4 linked regions of the Cricetulus griseus genome follow. The protein of the gene in region 3 interacts with the protein of the main gene of each other region in a pairwise test. Links are inferred from orthologs where the notes say so. Each region holds a gene or a part of one and is shown on either strand. Other genes may lie near its edges. The genes, in order: caspase-9-like, Polr1c, Birc7 and Phf1.

Evidence for each region.
Region 1: the proteins of Birc7 (region 3) and caspase-9-like interact in binary tests that used the Homo sapiens proteins (3 or more experiments, as listed by UniProt). The two-hybrid records come from large-scale screens. The link is inferred for Cricetulus griseus from reciprocal best matches to the Homo sapiens genes BIRC7 and CASP9.
Region 2: the proteins of Birc7 (region 3) and Polr1c interact in binary tests that used the Homo sapiens proteins (3 or more experiments, as listed by UniProt). The two-hybrid records come from large-scale screens. The link is inferred for Cricetulus griseus from reciprocal best matches to the Homo sapiens genes BIRC7 and POLR1C.
Region 4: the proteins of Birc7 (region 3) and Phf1 interact in binary tests that used the Homo sapiens proteins (3 or more experiments, as listed by UniProt). The two-hybrid records come from large-scale screens. The link is inferred for Cricetulus griseus from reciprocal best matches to the Homo sapiens genes BIRC7 and PHF1.

What each region holds. Positions count from the first base shown.
Region 1 is NC_048595.1:11,440,718-11,444,924, reverse strand, and holds the start of caspase-9-like, read left to right. Parts: upstream 1-1,393; coding exon 1,394-1,399; intron 1,400-4,207. UniProt on the Homo sapiens protein: Involved in the activation cascade of caspases responsible for apoptosis execution. Binding of caspase-9 to Apaf-1 leads to activation of the protease which then cleaves and activates effector caspases caspase-3 (CASP3) or caspase-7 (CASP7).
Region 2 is NW_023276806.1:255,712,484-255,716,936, forward strand, and holds the start of Polr1c (DNA-directed RNA polymerases I and III subunit RPAC1), read right to left. Parts: upstream 2,925-4,453; 5' UTR 2,833-2,924; coding exon 2,764-2,832; intron 2,649-2,763; coding exon 2,577-2,648; intron 364-2,576; coding exon 256-363; intron 172-255; coding exon 39-171; intron 1-38. Other genes in the region: protein YIPF3, read left to right, coding at 3,133-3,213, 3,769-3,966, 4,107-4,213. UniProt on the Homo sapiens protein: DNA-dependent RNA polymerase catalyzes the transcription of DNA into RNA using the four ribonucleoside triphosphates as substrates.
Region 3 is NC_048599.1:975,001-979,444, reverse strand, and holds the start of Birc7 (baculoviral IAP repeat-containing protein 7), read left to right. Parts: upstream 1-1,544; 5' UTR 1,545-1,609; coding exon 1,610-1,976; intron 1,977-3,263; coding exon 3,264-3,363; intron 3,364-3,729; coding exon 3,730-3,808; intron 3,809-3,889; coding exon 3,890-3,935; intron 3,936-4,444.
Region 4 is NW_023276806.1:232,130,679-232,135,040, reverse strand, and holds the start of Phf1 (PHD finger protein 1), read right to left. Parts: upstream 2,836-4,362; 5' UTR 2,677-2,835; intron 2,049-2,676; 5' UTR 2,033-2,048; coding exon 1,874-2,032; intron 1,790-1,873; coding exon 1,708-1,789; intron 1,625-1,707; coding exon 1,529-1,624; intron 894-1,528; coding exon 793-893; intron 704-792; coding exon 555-703; intron 407-554; coding exon 311-406; intron 177-310; coding exon 108-176; intron 1-107. Other genes in the region: kinesin-like protein KIFC1, read right to left, coding at 4,028-4,072. UniProt on the Homo sapiens protein: Polycomb group (PcG) that specifically binds histone H3 trimethylated at 'Lys-36' (H3K36me3) and recruits the PRC2 complex. Involved in DNA damage response and is recruited at double-strand breaks (DSBs).

The sequences.
Region 1 (4,207 bases), on a different chromosome or scaffold from region 3:
AGAGTCTTGCTGTATACCCTAGGCTGACCTTTAACCCCCAATTGACATACCTCTAACTCCAAAGTACTGAGACTGCAGTGTCAGCCACCATTCCCAGTCACCCATATTTTCACAGTGTGCAGGGGCCAGAACAGTCATTTATTAGTCTTAGTTCTGACAAAGACTGGCCCTGCCCAGACCGTCCAGACACTCCTCACATAATGTAACAGGATGAGGCCCTACATCATCTGTTTGGCCCCGCAGACCCTCACTTCCCCCTGTGCCAGCCACCCAGACCCCTGTGCAGTTGTTTTCTGTGTATGCTGCCCCACTACTGTCCCCCACTACTGTCCCAGGGTCTTCGCATTTGCAGTCCGTTAGCATAACTTTCTCCATTTCCTACTGGTCTCTGCTTGATGCCACCTTCTCCATGAAGTGTCTATGACAACACCATCCAGAACAGTGCACGCATGCATATCCATGCTGTCCTGGCAAGTATTATGACAACTTGACACAAGCTAGATTCATCTGGGATGAGGGAACCTCAACCAAGTCAATGCTCCCACCAGATTGGCCTGTAAGCAAGCTTGGGGTGCACTTGATTGATTGATGGTTGATGGCTGATGTGGAAGGTCCCACCTCACTTGTGGGCAGTGCTGCCCCTGGGTCGGTGGTCGTGGGGGCTAGAAGGAAGCAAGGTATATGAGCAAGCTATGAGGCGCTCATCAAAGCATCATCCCTCCGTGGCTTCTGCCTCAGCCCTGCCTCCAGGTTCCTGTCCTCCTTCAGTCCCTGTACTGACTTCCTTCAATGATGGGCTGTGATGTGGAAGTACAGGCTGAAACCAACCCTTTCCTTCCCAGGTTGCTTTTGGTCACTGTGTATTTACCACAGCAACAAAAACCCTAAGACACATGCTCGCTCACTCAAGAATGTACACACCTGCACATAAGCACACACCTCCCCGACTGCATTGCTTTTTACCCAGTGGCGGCTTTGTTGCCCAGCAACTAGACTTTCAGGTAAATCCTGTGAATCTCACCCCTACATACTGTGTTCTAGGGGTCCGTGGGTAGGAGATAGGAGGTCTTTGATAAACAGCCCTCCAGCCCTCCAGCCCTCCAGCCCTCCTCATCAGACTCAACAGCCATAGATGAGAACTACTCAAGAACAAAACTTGTACCTGCACAAAACACATGTACTTTTTCCTTGTCATCATTCACTAAACAATATCACAGATGACGACTTAGATAGCAATGGCATTGTGGTTGGGGATCACCAGTAATCTAGAGATTAGTTGAAATAATAGGAAGGGCTGTGGATGACACAGCTTGTCTAGCATGCTTGCTCTAGGCTTGAGTCCTAGACCTGCATAAAAGATGGGGGAGGAAAGGATAGGGGAGTAATAGTGATGATGACGGTGACGCTGGCACGTGATGGATCCTTGTTTGTTCTTTGTCAGCTTGGTATAACCTAGAGCCATTTGGGAAGAGGGAACCTCAATTGAGAAATTGCTTCCGTTATATTTCCTGTAGAGTAGTTGGTGGGGATTTTTTTTTTTTTTAAATAAGATTAATGCTTAGAGCCCAGCCCTCCATGGCAGGTGCCACCCTGGTCAGTTGATCCTGGGTTGTGTGATAAAGAAGTAAGAGCAAGCTGGAAATAGCAAACCAGTAAGCAACACCCTGTGTTAAATCCATAGTACTCCCCCAAACTGGAAAATATTTACGATAGACACGTGAGGGATGGAGAGAGGGCTCAGTGAGCAAGGCTGACAACTTGAGTTTAATCCCCAGGACCACATGGACCCAATGGAAGGAGAGGAAAGACTTCTGGAAATTGTCCTCTGACATCCATGAGTCCCTACCCTGCAAATAAATGTAGTAAAAGAAACAAAACGAGGAGCCAGAGAGTAGGCTCAGCAGTTATTCCCACCCTTCACTTGGTGGCTCACAGCTGTCTGTAACTCCAGTTCCAGGAATGCCAAACATAAATGCACATAAAAAATAAAGTATAAATAAAAAATAAACAAAACATACAAAGCTACTCCAAAGGATTGTGCACCAAGCTAAAATACACAAAACCTCCTGTAGATAGAAACTTTTCCCCCATGGGCAGAAATGCCATGACTGAACCACTGATTTGGTTTTGAAGATTAACCAAGCACTTATATTGAGAAGTAAAGAAATAGCTCCCTGTAACATGGAAGGGACCAAAAATTCAACTAAAACAAGTTTTTGAGATGGTCTTATGTATCCCAAGGTTGTTCCAAGTTCTTTACATAACCAAAGATGATCCTGAGCTCATGCTTTTCCTGCCCTCACCTCCTGAGTGCTGGGATTACATTTATGAACCACCATGTCCAAAGTTTTATCATACTCAGGGCTTCCACCAGATGCCAACTTAGTAACATACTCAAGCCCTGCATCAAATTAGAATCTTGACTCCTCCCAAGCTCAACGGGGTGTGTTTGGGCTGTTATGGGACCATTCAGAGTCCCAGTTCTTTTATCGGGAAAATAAGGACCCCTTGGATAGGGCTCTGGTCATTGCTAGTATTTCCAACAGAACATTATTTAAACACTGTGACTATAGCCATGTGACACACATCTTTCTGATCTGGGCACATAAGCCATTTCCCATCACTCCTGTAACCCCATAGGGCACCATTCACTATTTATCATGCCCATTGTACTTGTGAGAGAACAAATGCCCCTGTGGGCAGCAATGCCAGCAGGACTGCTCTTTCTTATGTGACTTATGGAAGGAGCTTAACAATTCCACAAAAACAAACACTTAGTACTTAGGATGGGAATGTTGGCACATTCCCTTAATCCTAGCACTCTCGTGGATCTCTGAGTTTGAGGCCAGTTTGGTCTAAATTGTGAGTTCTAAGACAGCCAGAGCCACAATGAGACCCTGTCTGAAGAAATGAATAATTAAATAAATAAGTAACACATATAATGAATACTTACTGGTTGTTATTTTACATGTGTTTGTGTTTGCCTTCATGTATGTACATGTCTAGTGCCTGTGGAGGCCAGAAGAGGGCACTGGATGCCCTGGAACTGGAGTTCTAGATGGTTGTGAGCTGTCATGTGGGTGGTGGGAACTGAATTCGCTTTCTCTGAAGAACAGCAAGTCTCCTCACTGTTGAGCCTTCTCTCCAGCTCTCCAGGAAAGCTATTTTAAAACGGACATGCTTCTGACATTTGAAAAATGTGCAATAAACTGGGCAGTGGTGGTGCTCGGGAGGCAGAGGCAGTTGGATCTCAGTTGAAGGCCAGCCTGGTCTATAGAGTGAGTTCTAGGACAGGCAGGTCTACACAGAGCTCTGTCCCACAAACAAACAAAGAATATACAGCACACCTATTTGGTGTTGTGTATGGTTCTCCAGTCCTACAGTTCTATGATTGTCTCGAAACAATCAACAGCAACAAAAGGTCTTTTCTACAGCCACCTTTTCAACTACCAAGTGTAGATTTTGCCAGGGAAGAAAGGTTTTTTAAAATATTCATCATAAAGGTCTCACATGTCCTATGAAAGATCTAGTAATTTCTACCTGGGCCAAATTTCAGTTTTGACAGCACTATGATTATATCAGTGTAAGGAAGCAGTTATTTTCATCCATAACAGTGTAATTAAGAATTAATCTGCATAAATAGCCCTGACTGGCCCCTTCAAGTGAAGAATATTTGCATAGGAGTGGTGACAGCCTCACAGGGGAAACTGATGTGGCAGTGGGCATGTAACTTTAGATCATCAGGTCTCTGGCAGCTCCTTTTTGATGGCTGGAGACATTTCCTTTCTCTCAGTCCCCAATAGTCCATGGCTGCAGGATTTTATTGTATTGGTGCGGCCCTCTTGTGTTCCCACCAAACCTCACCTTTGTCTGAATAATAGACTCACCAGTGTGGTTGACTCACCTGCCAGGGCCAGCTGTTGGGTGTGGCCTCTTCTCCCCCAACTACCCTGCTCACATGGTCCTCGACATCATAAGTGGGGAACCCGCAGCTGAGAGCTGGGAAAAGAGAGTATTGGGTCAGTGAGGATTTGCTTTTGTGGACATACCCAAACCCAACAGGAAACTCTTGCTTTGCAAAGATCTAGTAGGTCCGTGAGTCAGTCCTTCATTCCACTTCCTAGCCTGTCTTTGATTTTGTCAGGTAACTGAAGCTGGCCTTAAATTTGTGGTCCTCCTGTCTCAGCCTCACGAGTGTTGGTATTAT
Region 2 (4,453 bases), on a different chromosome or scaffold from region 3:
CACAACCCACTTGAGGACAGTCATCTTCTCAATCTCACCTGGGTTCCTATATTCAAACAGACGTGGATCAGCAAGAATGGGGATGAGCCCCAGGCGGTGAGCAAGGATCTCATCCTGGACAATGGATGTGTTATTATAAACCAGAACCTTTTCCACTGCCATTGTTGGCACCTGTTCAAAAAAGCAGAATCATCCAACTGCAACACCAACTGATCTCCCTACCTGGAAATAAGAGACCCACACGTCTTCTTTTACCTCAGCTAACAGAATTCTCCGGAAAGCATTAGCAATGGCAGCATCAATTCCCACCATGTCGAACTCCAGTGTATTTTCATCCATATGAACAACATCCACACGGAAATTCTAGAGGGATAGAGAAAAAACTGATGGAACACCTGTTTCTCTTGTGTAATTCAAGCCTCCCTCTGTGATTACTCCCACCCTGGCAATGTCCCTCCATGTATGTCCACCCTCTCTCATCCTAAAGCCTTCCTGTGACCAGATGATCACTAGACTTTTGTCTTCAGCCCTGTTCTTGAGTTTTGTAAGAAGCCTGGCTGGTTTTCTTTCTTTTTTAAATTAAAAAATAAGGGGGGGTCTCCCTACCTTGCCCTAGCATTTCTGGAACTATCTATGTAAACCACAATGGCCTCGAACTCACAGGAATACTTACCTATCTTCTATGGACTAGGATCAAAGGTGTACATCACTAAGACCCTAAGCAAAGCCGGGCATTGGTGGTGCACACCTTTAATCCCAGCACTGGGCGCGCGCGCGTGGGGGGGAGGGGGACACAGGCAGATCTCTGTGAGTTCCAGGCCAGCCTTGTCTACAGATGGAGTGCCAGGATAGGCTCCAAAGCTACATCCTGTCTCAACCCCCGCCCTCTCCCCAAAAAAGACCCTAGGCAATATGGCTCCACAAAAACAACCCACAGAAGCTGCTACACTGAAGAGCAGAACGTCCCACACTGCTTAGACAAGTTAGTCCTGCATTTGTTTTTATTTTTCAATCCCTCTTTTTTCAAATTCTACTCCCTTGACTTTTGAACACCAATTTAGTTCTCTTATCTGATATTCTAAATTCTTCCTCTCACCCTGTAAATGTTACTTTCTCCCAGGTTCAAATCTCTTGGCTGACCTCAATCACACTCCTGGCTTAAGCAACTACTCAGCAACTCCCCAAACTTGGGTTCATTTTGATCTCACTTCAGGCATCATTCACTTGACCTACAGACTTCACATACAGGAATTTGAACATATTATCACTCTTTTTCTCCTGTTTATCAACTGACACAATCAGCCATCAAGACACTTCCCTAATGGAGCTGACGAGATGGCTCAGCAGTTAAGAGCATTTGACTGCTCTTACAGAAGAACTGGGTTTGGCCGGGCGTTGGGTGGCGCACGCCTTTAATCCCAGCACTCGGGAGGCAGAGGCAGGAGGATCTCTGTGAGTTCGAGACCAGCCTGGTCTACAAGAGCTACTTCCAGGACAGCCTCCAAAGCCACAGAGAAACCCTGTCTCGAAAAACAGAAGAAAAAAAAAGAAAAAAGAAAAAGAACTGGGTTTGGTTCCCAGCACCCACACTGTGGTTCATAACCATGCATAACTCCAGTTCTGGGGACCTAACTAGACCTCCCTGGGTCACCAGTCACACAAATGCACAAATATACATGCAGGTAAACACATAACCCCCCCCCCAAAAAAAAAACTCCTTAAATTCCCCACATCACAAGGCCCTTTTTCACACACACACACACACACCCCTCACCAAAGCTATATGGTACATAGCTGTTAGTTCTCCTTTTGCTCCATTTCCACTACCAGTGGAATTTATTCATTCCCTCCCAGCTATGAAGGTTACAAAATTAGATCAGTCTACTGAAAAATTCTCTTTAAGCCAGGCGAGGTAGCTCATGCTATTAATCTCAGCGCTCAGGAGGCAGAAAGGCTAGTTTCATGACAGCCAGGGATACCCAGAGAAACCCTGTCTCGAAAAAAAAAAAACAACAGAGCTCTCTATTAACTTGCAGAGCTTAAGATAACACCCCAATCAGGGACGCGAGTTTAAATTTCCAGCACTCAACACTGTAACTGACAACAGGATCCGACACCCTCACATAGATTCGGACAAAACACCAATGTACATAAAATACAAATAAATTTTCAAAGAGAAAAAGATAGACCCCGGTCTTGTCTACCACTCGGGCCAATGTATTGACATCTGGCGATAATGAACTGCTGGAGCAGGCTCTGCGCAAACAAGCGTTTGCAACAATGCTCCAATTAGGCCTGCACGGCCTAACTGTTGGCCAGTCTTCCTTCACTGACCCGAGTCTCCGTCTCTCCGACGGACCGGATTAAGTCACCTACGGGATTCCTCTCCCGCACCCCGGCCGTGCTCGCCGCTCTTGTGTTTCACCGGGATCCCTTGATCACGTGGGCCTTCACCCCACCCGGGCGGCCTGGCCACCCAGCACCCAGCACATGGATGGCTCAGCACACGTTTTTGGAACGCGGCGAGCGTGAGCCGTCTGGTCCCCGGGCCGCCGGGACACCTCCCGCGCACCCACCTTCTCGAAGCGGTCCTGGTCCCAGGCGTCGTCGTAACCCGAGTAGTTACCGGGGAAGTCGGTGGTGTGGACCTAGAGCCAACAGATGTGTTCAGCGGGGCGGTGAGGACAAGCCGCAAGCCAGGTCCCCTCCCCTCCTCCTCCCCCATCCCGCCCCCGACCCTCCCGAGTTCCGCTCCGAGCTCACGTTGCGAACCCCGAACTCTCCCAGAACCACGCGCGTCCGCATCTCCTCCACGGCCTGGGCCGCCGCCATCGTCCACCACCCGCCTCGAGACGCCTCCGGTGCGCGCAGGCGTACTAGGGGCCCGTTGCCGTCTCCCTGGCAACGCCCCGCCTCCTGAACTTATAAATGTCGCGATATCCTGCCCCGCCCCGTCCACGTCCTTCACTTCCGGACGTCAATTGGGGCCAAACATCCGGGTTTCTCCTGTTTGCATTCCGGCTGATACTACCTCGCCCTCTCTCTTTCCTGGACGTTTCCTCCTTCTCTCCGGCCCGGGTCTCACGCTGGTCCCACGCCCGCGAGCTTCAGCGACGGAAAGCCTCGAGGGACATGGCGACTCCCGCGGCGCCGGCCAGCGGCGTCCGAAACGGAGCTGGCCCGGAGTGGGGAGGCTTCGAAGAAAACATCCAGGTATGGAGCGGTGTCCCGGCTGCCGGCAGCCCCCGGGCTGGCCGCCGTCCCCTCTCGCGGCCTGGAAGTCGGCTCCATTGCAAGTGGTGGCCGCTGAGTCTCCCACGCCCAGGTCTGTAGCGCTTGTGCTGAGGAGGAAGGGCCAGGCCGAGGCTGCAGCGGGCCTCGGGTCTCCGTGGCTGGGCGGCCTGTCTGGGTCAGGCAGGTGCAGGGCTAGAGGGTAGGATTGATTCCCTGGAGCCCCTAAAGGTGGCCTGTGTGCACATAGGCTTGCTTGAAGGTGGGTGGCGGCAGGTCGGCCCCGGTGCAGCACTTCGAAGCTTTGAGGGGGAAGGTAGGAAAACAACGTGAATTGAAGATGAGTAGTGTGTTTTCTGAACCACAAAAGTGTGGCGACAAGAGTTGTGCCAGCAGTGACAAGGAGGAGTTTGGCACGATGGGTAGCAATTCCAATGTCCTCATCAGTGGGAGAGCAAAGCCTCAAACCGTGCGATGAGCAGAGAGCAGAAGGGTGCAACAGAAGGCCCCGCTCTCTAGCAGCCTTTGTCTTCACAGGGCGGGGGCTCGGCCGTGATTGACATGGAGAACATGGATGACACGTCAGGCTCCAGCTTCGAGGACATGGGGGAGCTGCATCAGCGCCTGCGTGAGGAAGAAGTGGATGCCGACGCAGCTGCTGCAGAAGAGGAGGATGGCGAGTTTCTGGGCATGAAAGGCTTTAAGGGACAGCTGAGCCGACAGGTGGCTGATCAGGTAAGCAGATGGGAAAGTGGACCCATGTGTGTCCCAAGGTGACGTAGGTTTTCCAGGGAGAACCACACAGAAATCTGGCAAAGGCTGTGTAACGTTAACAGTCTAGAGCCACCAGTTTCATAATACCCATCTCCCTTCAGATGTGGCAGGCAGGGAAGAGACAAGCTTCCAGAGCCTTCAGCTTGTATGCCAACATCGACATCCTGAGACCCTACTTTGATGTGGAGCCTGCTCAGGTCCGAAGCAGGTGAGGAGTCTTCTCAGAAGAGTCTGTCCTCACATCTAGTCCCTCATCCAGACTGCAGTCAGATACTGAGCCCTGAGCTCTGGTGGTGAAAGTGTGTGCATGCTGCCCATCTTACCAGACACCGCGCTCGGACAGCACTTGCTGTGTCCTCATTCCTCCCCAGCTGGGACTCCTAGACAACTCTGCTGGCTTCTACCATGTGGCTACATAGATTTTTATTCCTGGTCGGTCTCTCCCGAG
Region 3 (4,444 bases):
ATGTAGTCCAGGTTGACCTTAAATTCATAGCAACCTTCCTGCTTTAGCCCCATGAGTGTTAGGATGGCATGCATGAGCCGCCATGCCCACCTCACAATATCTCTCAAGTCCCAACCCCTCGCCATGTGGCTCAATATCTACTCCTGACTGAGGGACTATTGACAGTTGACAGCTTCTGGGAGAAGCCACGGTTGGTGGCTCCTGGTAGGTTGGCCATGTTTCAGTGGATGTTGCCACACCCACGAATATAGGGACAACACAAACTGGACTCAGTGGGTAAACATTTAAAAATAAATAAAAAGAGGAGATGAAGTTGGGATGGGAGTGGAAAGACAGGGATGGACATGGAAGGAGGTAGGGGGAGAAGTAGGGGTGAGTATGACCAAAAAGAACTGTCTGGAGTCTGCCTTCCTTCCTTCCTTCCTTCCTTCCTCCTTCCTTCCTTCCTTCCTTCCTTCCTTCCTTCCTTCCTTCCTTCCTTCCTTCCAACTGTGTTTCTCTGTGTAGCCCTGGATGTCCTGGAACTCATTCTGTAGATGAGGCTGGCCTCCAGCTTAGAGATTTGCCTGCCTCTGACTCCTGAGTGCTCACCATGTTAAATGTTTCACCAGCGTGAAGAGCTACTTACAGGTGAGGAGTTTGTGCGGCTATCTGGGTACAGTGCCAGCTTGGGCAGAGCTGGCTCCTTGGTCTTCTTCTCTGCCCCTTCCAGTAGTCTTGAGGACTTTTGTTTTACTAACCTGTAGCTATGGCCTCTCTGGGGTTATGCCTCTCCTCTCTGTTCTGTTAGGTCTGTGACAATGGAGTCCCTCACCTGGGGCTTGTTAGTGGAGACCAGGTGCCTGGAACCAGTCCTGAGGCAGAGCTCACTTAGGGAGGCAGTATCCCCTGTAACAGTGCAGATAGAGACCTGTGCTGGCCTGGAGCAAACACAATCTAAAACTTGAGCTCCTCCCAGACCATGCCCCACCCTTGATTTGACTCTAGCCTGTCCAGATAGAAAGAGGGCAGCCTGAGACCAGTTAGGATAGGCAGGCTGACTCTGACCCAGGGCTGAGCCAAACAGGGATTGCCTACATGCTAGGGACAGGGATAAGCAGGTGATATCATCCTTGAACATCAGGACAGGCTTGATATGGAAGGAATGTGGTTGGGGTTGCATACTGTCCTGGACAATCTAGCTTTCTACCTTGCAGGCCCCTGTCTGGATTTATCTATCTCTACCCAGAACTGAACCCTGAATAGCTGGATTCCGCCCCCCCCCCATTTTTTTGTCAGTACCTATGATTTGCTTCCAGAGGCTTAGAGGATGCTGTTAGAGGGATCCCCAAGCTCTGCCCCTCCTCCTATTTAGAGATGCTTTCAGCACAGTGGAGTACCGCCTTTGTTAGGCGCCTGCCAGGAGGCCCCATGACACATTCACTGCAGAGAGCACGTGGCCACCACTCTGGCCTCTTTCAGAAAGTGGCACATCCCTGGACACACTACCACATCTGAGCATCTAGTGGTGTCTGCCTGTAGTTAGGAGCAGGGGTCACCACAGCTTCTAGAAAGGGCTGCTAGAGTCAGGAGCTGGAGGTAAGTCACCAGGCACATTCCAGGCTTGGTGATGTTCTCTCCTGAAGACTTGCTCAGAGCTGCTGTTCTCTCCATGGGGCCTGAGGGTAGGGCCAGGGACTTATTCTGTAGCCCAGAACTTAGTCACAGGGAAGATAGCAACAGCCTCACCCAGGAGCAGTACAGATCCCACCGCAGACGGAGCCATGTCTCGGGTCAGGACTGCCTAGATGGGCAGATCTTGGGCCAGTTGCGCCCCCTGTCAGAAGAGGAAGAATCCACTGGAGCTACCTTCCTTGGGGAGCCCGCCTTCCCTGAGATGGATTCAGAGGATCTCCGCCTGGCTTCCTTCTTCGACTGGCCATCCACTGCTGGGATTCAGCCAGAACCATTGGCTGCTGCTGGCTTCTTCCATACAGGTAAGTCTTGGGGTCTTTCTGCTGTGGTCTGGAGGCTAATTAGCACTCTTCCAGGCTGAGAGTTCTGTCCATTCCTGCCCTGAGGGAGGAGCTGATGAAAGGTAGTCCTGTTATTTCTGCCTGGCCAGGGCTTGGGATCTAATGTAGTCAAAAGCCACTATGAGATCATGGGCTTGTGGTGGCCTTGTCCAGAAGGCCACTCAGCAGGTGGTTTCACCTGAATTAGATGGTTCTGTGGATTCCCCATACTACTTCAGGGATCTCCACTGCTATCTGGGAGCCTTGCAGGCTTGGTTATAGAGGTGATTATCCCCTTTCATTCCAGGACAAATGGAGGAACATGTACCTATGGATGCAGTGGTTAGCTTAAACATCCCCTGATTTGTACCCCTGTAGGTAATCCTCCAGGCTTCCCATGTACCAGGCTAGTGCAGGGAAATCCTTTGAGTAGCTGTTTTAGTTACAAACAGACAACTTTAGTTTGGGCTGCTCCTCACTCACGGTAGGGGTCAGGTTCCAGCTTTTTCTCTTTCTGGTTGAGGAAAAAGAGGCAGGGAGACCCACGGAGAGGCTTTGTAAGTAGGAGCATAGCCAGAGAAACTATCTCCGATGAGGCTAGCAAGGGAGGAATTATTTATTTTCCTTGCACTGGTCAGGCAAGAGCCCAAACTGATATAGGGCAACTGGACACTGGTCAGGAAGGGTTAATGGCTGGGACAGTTAGAGCCTCCTTGAAAAGAAATGTTCCTGGGGCCAACATATGTTAGGGGGATTTTGTGGATTGTGGGTGCCTGCTGTGGGAGATGCCTGTAAGTCCTGTTTATAATTTCTGCACAAGGTCATGAAGGACACATCTCCCCATGGTTGGAGGAGGGGCAGAGAGCAGAGATGAGGAAGGCCTGAACCACTAAAACCAAGCCTAATTATAAACCAGTGTGGGAGGGGTCACCTCCTTATCCTGTCACTAGGAGTCCTTTTTGGATGCCCCGAATTTCCCAGGCTACAGATGCTCTAAGCCTTTGGCCCTACCCTACCCCCATGCCCTGAGAGCAACATAAATGCTAGCTCAGCTTTCCAGAATACTCTAGGGCCCTCCTGACACATGACCCAGGCATTGTCTTCATTTGTCTTTGAGACAAGAGAGATGCCCATGTGTGCCTTGCTCCCTCCTTGTCAACCTGCTGGTAGATCCCAGCCCTGCCTGTCCAAGCTCTGATGGCCATGGAGGGACACTCTGGGGATGCCAGCTAGGTGGAGTTACTAGCCATGTGTCTCTGCCATACCCAGGCCAGCAGGACAAGGTGAGATGTTTCTTCTGCTATGGGGGTCTGCAGAGCTGGGAGCATGGGGATGACCCTTGGACAGAGCATGCCCGATGGTTCCCCAGGTAAGGACCAGGTGGACTGATGCAGGTCCCATCAGTGAAAAGGGCCCTAAAGAATTCTGTTCAGCCTTCCCATCTCCCACAGTCCCAGAACATCAGGATCTCTCGAGGGTAGCAGACAACCCCACTCTTCATGGAGCTCTCTCTGGAGGGGCTGCTACAATGGTCATTCTCCCATTGCTATCCTTTTCTAAGTGCTCAGAGCCCATCTCCTGATAGCTTTCCCAGGTCTCCCTAGGGAATATAGCCATGACTATCTGCCATAGGGCATAATGGGTTGCACGGGAACAGAAGGCATGGCTTCCGGGGCTTGAATATGACAGTGGGGTTCTAAGAGTCCAGTCCTGCCTCCTGAGATTTCTTCTCCAGGTGTCAGTTCCTGCTACAGTCAAAAGGAAGGGACTTTGTGGAAAGAATCCAGGCTTGCACCCCCTTGCTTGGCTCCTGGGTAAGTCCATCTGTCCTCAGGACTCAGGTGGGTTGGCAGTCTCTGCTATGTTTACTTATGGCATTGATGGTTTTCCAACAGGACCCATGGGAAGAGCCAGAAGATACAGTCCCTGCTACCGCCACAGGTGAGATAGCCTGATACAAAGCCCTTGCTATTTCATTGGCATTTGCAGCCTGTACCTGGGTAAGACTGCTGAGCATTCGCACCTGCCAGTCAGCCGGGCGGGACTGTGCACACGTGTTATGTGTCCAAGGCACAGGTCAGGCCACACAGCATCCCCTTGTTTCCACTGAGCAGGCTGCTAAAGACACCAGCCAAACCTGAGGAGGTAGCTGCATCTTGGCCTGGTTCTGCTGGGCACTGGCCACAGCTTCTGAAAGCCAAATGGGCTATAACCGGAAGCCTGTTGAACAGATCCACAGAGGACACAGCTTTCCAAATCCCTTCCCTGGGCCCTATGGGACAGGAGTCTGAGGTTCTTCAGGGACCCCAAGGGGGTTTCTAACTTCAGGGACCACCTGATCTGTTTGCCATCTTTGTGGCCACAGGCAAGTAGCTTTTCTCCCAGAGCCTCATTGCTGTGAGATGTGACATGACAACCCTAACCCATTTAATCACACAGGTGTCTGTGGG
Region 4 (4,362 bases), on a different chromosome or scaffold from region 3:
AGCAGCGCATATGAGAGTCAAACAGCGGGGAACAGGAAGGAAGGAAGGAAGGAAGGAAGGAAGGAAGGAAGGAAGGAAGGAAGGAAGGAAGGCACAATCCATCTCACCAGCGAAGCTGTAACCTCCGGACCTTCTCAGGGCCACCCCGGCACACACAGCATTCAAATTCATAGAATCTGGACATGAGGACAGAGAACGCACCTCGTTCAACTCTACAAGTGGTAGACAGCGAACGCTGGGAGGCCTGGGCGTGGGTGGAGCACAGCAGGCGGGCGCCCTGGGCTTCCTGGACAGCCTCCTTTGGGCTCACCTGTCTCCGTAGAGGAGGGGCTTGCTCAGACACTGGGTGCAGGCCTCGTGGAACCACTGGAGACAGCTCCGACACTGCAGCATTTTCAGGTTCCACCTCAGGGGAAGACAGCCTGCCTGAGACCACCCTGAACCCTCACCCACCTCCCATCACCTCGGGGCTCCCCTCAGCCTGCCCCTTCCCCTTTATTCCAGGCTCTACCACCACAGCGTCCACCCCAGAACTCAGCACCCCCACCACTCACTCCCCGGGGCCTCCACAGTAACAGTAGCTCTGCTGTCGGTTGCTCAAGTGCCCGGCGTCCCAGTCCAGCCCCTTTAGTCCATACGGCAGACAGAGCTTCATGCCCAGCATGGCCCGGGCATAGGGGCCCTTCTTCAGGGCGCCCCCCCTCTGCAGAGGAACAGGTGGAAACCTCAGAGAGGCAGGAGAGAAGGGGCCATGGGAGGCTCCCATAGGAAGTGGCAGAGAGGTGCCTTTACCTTGGTGGCAATCGCAAAGACACACTGGCGGCAGACCCAGGATGTGCCCTCTCCTTCTCCAGGGGCTGGGGCCCTGGGAACGTGACAGTCCTGGTGATAAGCTGAATAAGGACAATGTTGAGAGTCAAACACTGTGTGCGCACCTGCATTGGCTTGGTGCTCGTACACGGCAGCCTTCCCTTGTGCGTTTATATCCTGACCATGGTCCTACTGTGTGTGTGTGTGTGTGTGTGTGTGTGTGTGTGTGTGTGTGTGTGGTGTGTGTTTGGTGGGGGGGCTGGAGAGATGGCTCAGAGGTTAAGAGCACTGGCTGCTCTTCCAGAGGTCCTAAGTTCAATTCCCAGCAACCACATGGTGGCTCACAACCATCTGTAGTGACATCTGGTACCCTTTTCTGGCCTGAAGTTGTACATGCAGGCAGAACACTGTATAATAAATAAACAAATCTTTAAAAGACAGAGAGAGAGAGAGAGAGAGAGAGAGAGAGAGAGAGAGAGTGAGAGGTATGTAGCTACCCTCAACCTTAGAGAGAGAGAGAGATGTATGTAGCTACCCTCAACCTTGCATGGCTTATGTCATCTTCATCCTATGGCTCCCTCTCCCTGTACTGAGATGAGGTGACAGGGTGAAGACTGGCCAAGATAGGAGACACAAGACCCATGCTAGGAAGACAACTGGCAATCCAGAAGACCCAGGGCAAACTGTACCATTCAAGTATCCTGCCCTCTCCTCTCACCATGACGACACTTCTCACAGCTGACCAGCCGGTTCCCAGGGACCACCGTCTCAGAGCGACAGACACAGCAGAGGAGCTCCTCCCCAGGGAGGGCAGCTGTGAGGGACAAGGTGTCAGGTGGCTTACTTCAGCCAGTGTCCCCCACACCCTCCAGCTTCTGCAGTTATGAAGGGTCTCACCCGGGCTGATGTCCTTCCATAGAACCAGAAACTGGGAATCATCCTCAAACTGGACCAGACACACCTCCCGAGCACTGTCCACCTGGAGTGGGTGAGCAAAGATTATAAAGTGGGAGCAGGAATCAGAGGGAGAGGATCCATGGTGGGGCCCAGAGTTGGCTCTTACCTTTTTGATGGTGCCTAAATACAGCAGCCCATCGGTCCACCTAGCCAGCACGTCTTGACCCTCCCAAAGTCGAGGTCTAGGGCCTGAGGTGGGAGCAGGGGAAGCTGGATCCCAAAGAGAGGGTGCACCCAAGCGGCTCAGCCGGGGGAGCTGCGCCATTGCATCCTGGGAGGGGCTAATCAGATACGATGGAAGAGTTTATGAATGTTAAGAAGGCTTGGCTGCTCTGTCTGCTTTTACTGTCAAGGATAAGGGACCAAGCACCTCCAAGCTCAGTCACTGAATCCTTTAGACACCTAAGGAGGTGGGTCACCCTGGTCCCCAGCCTGGTTCTCTAGCATCCCAGCTCCCTGGGGCCTTAGGGGAAAAGATGCTTTCAGAGCCAAGGTTACCATTCATTCAGTTTCGCCTTTCCCAGCTGTTTAGAGGTATCCTAACTGGGACGCTCGGTTGCCCAGAGATATTTTGGGAGCTTTTCTGGAGATGTTTCCCTGAGTAGAGACATCCGCCTCCCCAGGCCTGTGTGTCTCATTTAGAACCGCTGTCCTGGTGCCAGGTTATGTTAGGTCACCCTCAAATTTGAGGCTGCTTGCCCTGGGATTAGATAACTTCCCCGAGTGCCCCAGGAGGGGGGCGTGTCCCTGTCCAGGTCTCCGCTACCCTACACCGCCGGTCTGAGGAGGGACTCGAGTCCCCCCAGCCCGGATCCTAAGCCGGTGCCAAGAGGCTCTCCTGCCCCCTGCTGAGCATCGACCCCCGGCCCCCTCCCTGCCCCCGCTCAGGGCCTCCCGCCTCCTTCTTACCGGTGACAGCTGGGTCAGCAGGGAGCCAGCTAGGGGCAGACCCCAGAGCCCTAGGGGCGCGAGCCCCGGCGCGGGCGGAGTGCGTGCGGACGCCGAGGGCGTGCAGGAGGAGGCCGGGGGTCCCGGGGCCCAGCCCCTCCGTCCTAGCGGCTCTGGGGCGTATGACGCAGCAGCCAAAGCAGCGGCGGCGGCGGCGGGAGGAGTCGGCCGCGGGAGGGCGGGAGGGAGGAGTAGTGGGTGGGGAGCACCAGAGGGAGGAGAAGCCGGAGGGGCGGACAGGCAGCACCTCCCTCACCCCCGGCAGGCCCCGAGGGCACCGCACGGCTGGGGGCGCGGCCGGCCGGGCAGGACGAGGGGACCCCTGCAGCCCCCTTTCCGGACGGGAGGCTCGCCCCGGGAGCGGCAGGAAATAACCCTGCTGGCAGCCAGCCTGCAGGTCAGGGCCCAGCCCCGCCCCATGCCACATCCGTTAGCTGCCCCGCCCCCGTGGCCACTCCAAGCCCCGCCTCCGCACGCGGCCCCGCCCTCCCCATTCACACTTCCTGTCGCCCCGCCCTTCTGCGCACGCGCGGCCCCGCCTGGGCGCTGCACCTGGGCAGACAGCCACACCTCCTGCCGCGGGAGCCCGGTGCGGCTGCGCTCCTCCCTCCCGGGCGGGCAGGCGAGCGAGCGGGCCAGGGCCGGCGAGCGGGCGAGCCAGGGCGGCAGGGCCAGCACCCAGCCGGTGACGTGCCCACAGCCAGCCAATGGGCAGCGGGCGGCAGGGAACCGTAGTTCCAAGCGGTGGGCAGGCAGAGGGAGGGGATGCGGATCGAGCGCGCTGGGACTCACACCAGGCCCGGTGTGGCAGCTATGGGTGCAACACCCGCGCTGAAGGACAGCCAAGTGAGAGCCCAACAGAGAAAAGCCCATAGCCTCACTGTGCAAAGCACACGTCAGAAGCCACACTTCTGCAAGCTTACGGTATTTGTTTACAACCTACCAGGACTAACAAGACCTTTATTTAAGAGCCGTAACAAGGGCTGCAGAGATGGCTCGTCGTTAAGAGCACTGACTGCTTTTGCAGAGAACCCACAGTCGCTCACAGCCATCCATCAGACCAGGTCCAGAGGACCTGAAGCCAGCCCTCTTCTGAACTCAAGAAGCACCAGGCATACACATGGCGCACATGTACACACACCCAGGCAAAACAACCATGCGTAAAGTCTACAACAAAATTTCTTTATTTGATAGTTGGGTACAAATGATGTCCACCCAATAAAAGCGTATCTCTCACCCCCCTCTCCCCCCCAGTACACACAGAGAGAGACACAATCAACCCAGCGGCAGCGGAACCAGGCTCTGGCCATCTTCACTTCTTATTAGCCTGAGCAGTACCGATAACACACTGGTTCACCTGTGGACCAAGAAGGTTATACAAGATCAGCGTTGGTCCATCTACCCCAGCTCCAATGCTGGGGCCGCCCTCCAAAATATTGAAATAAGGGCTGTTGAAAGTAGGCTCGGCCTGGTTCCCGCCCCTAAGCATAGTTGTCTTATATCCACTAGTAGGCCTGGAAGAGGTCAGAAGTCTAGAGATGAAGCCCTGGTTTTATGTCAACTCCACACAGGCTACCTCTCTCTCTCTCCTCTTTTTTTTTTTGGTTTTTCAAGACAGGGTTTCTCTGTGGCTTTGGAGCCTATCCT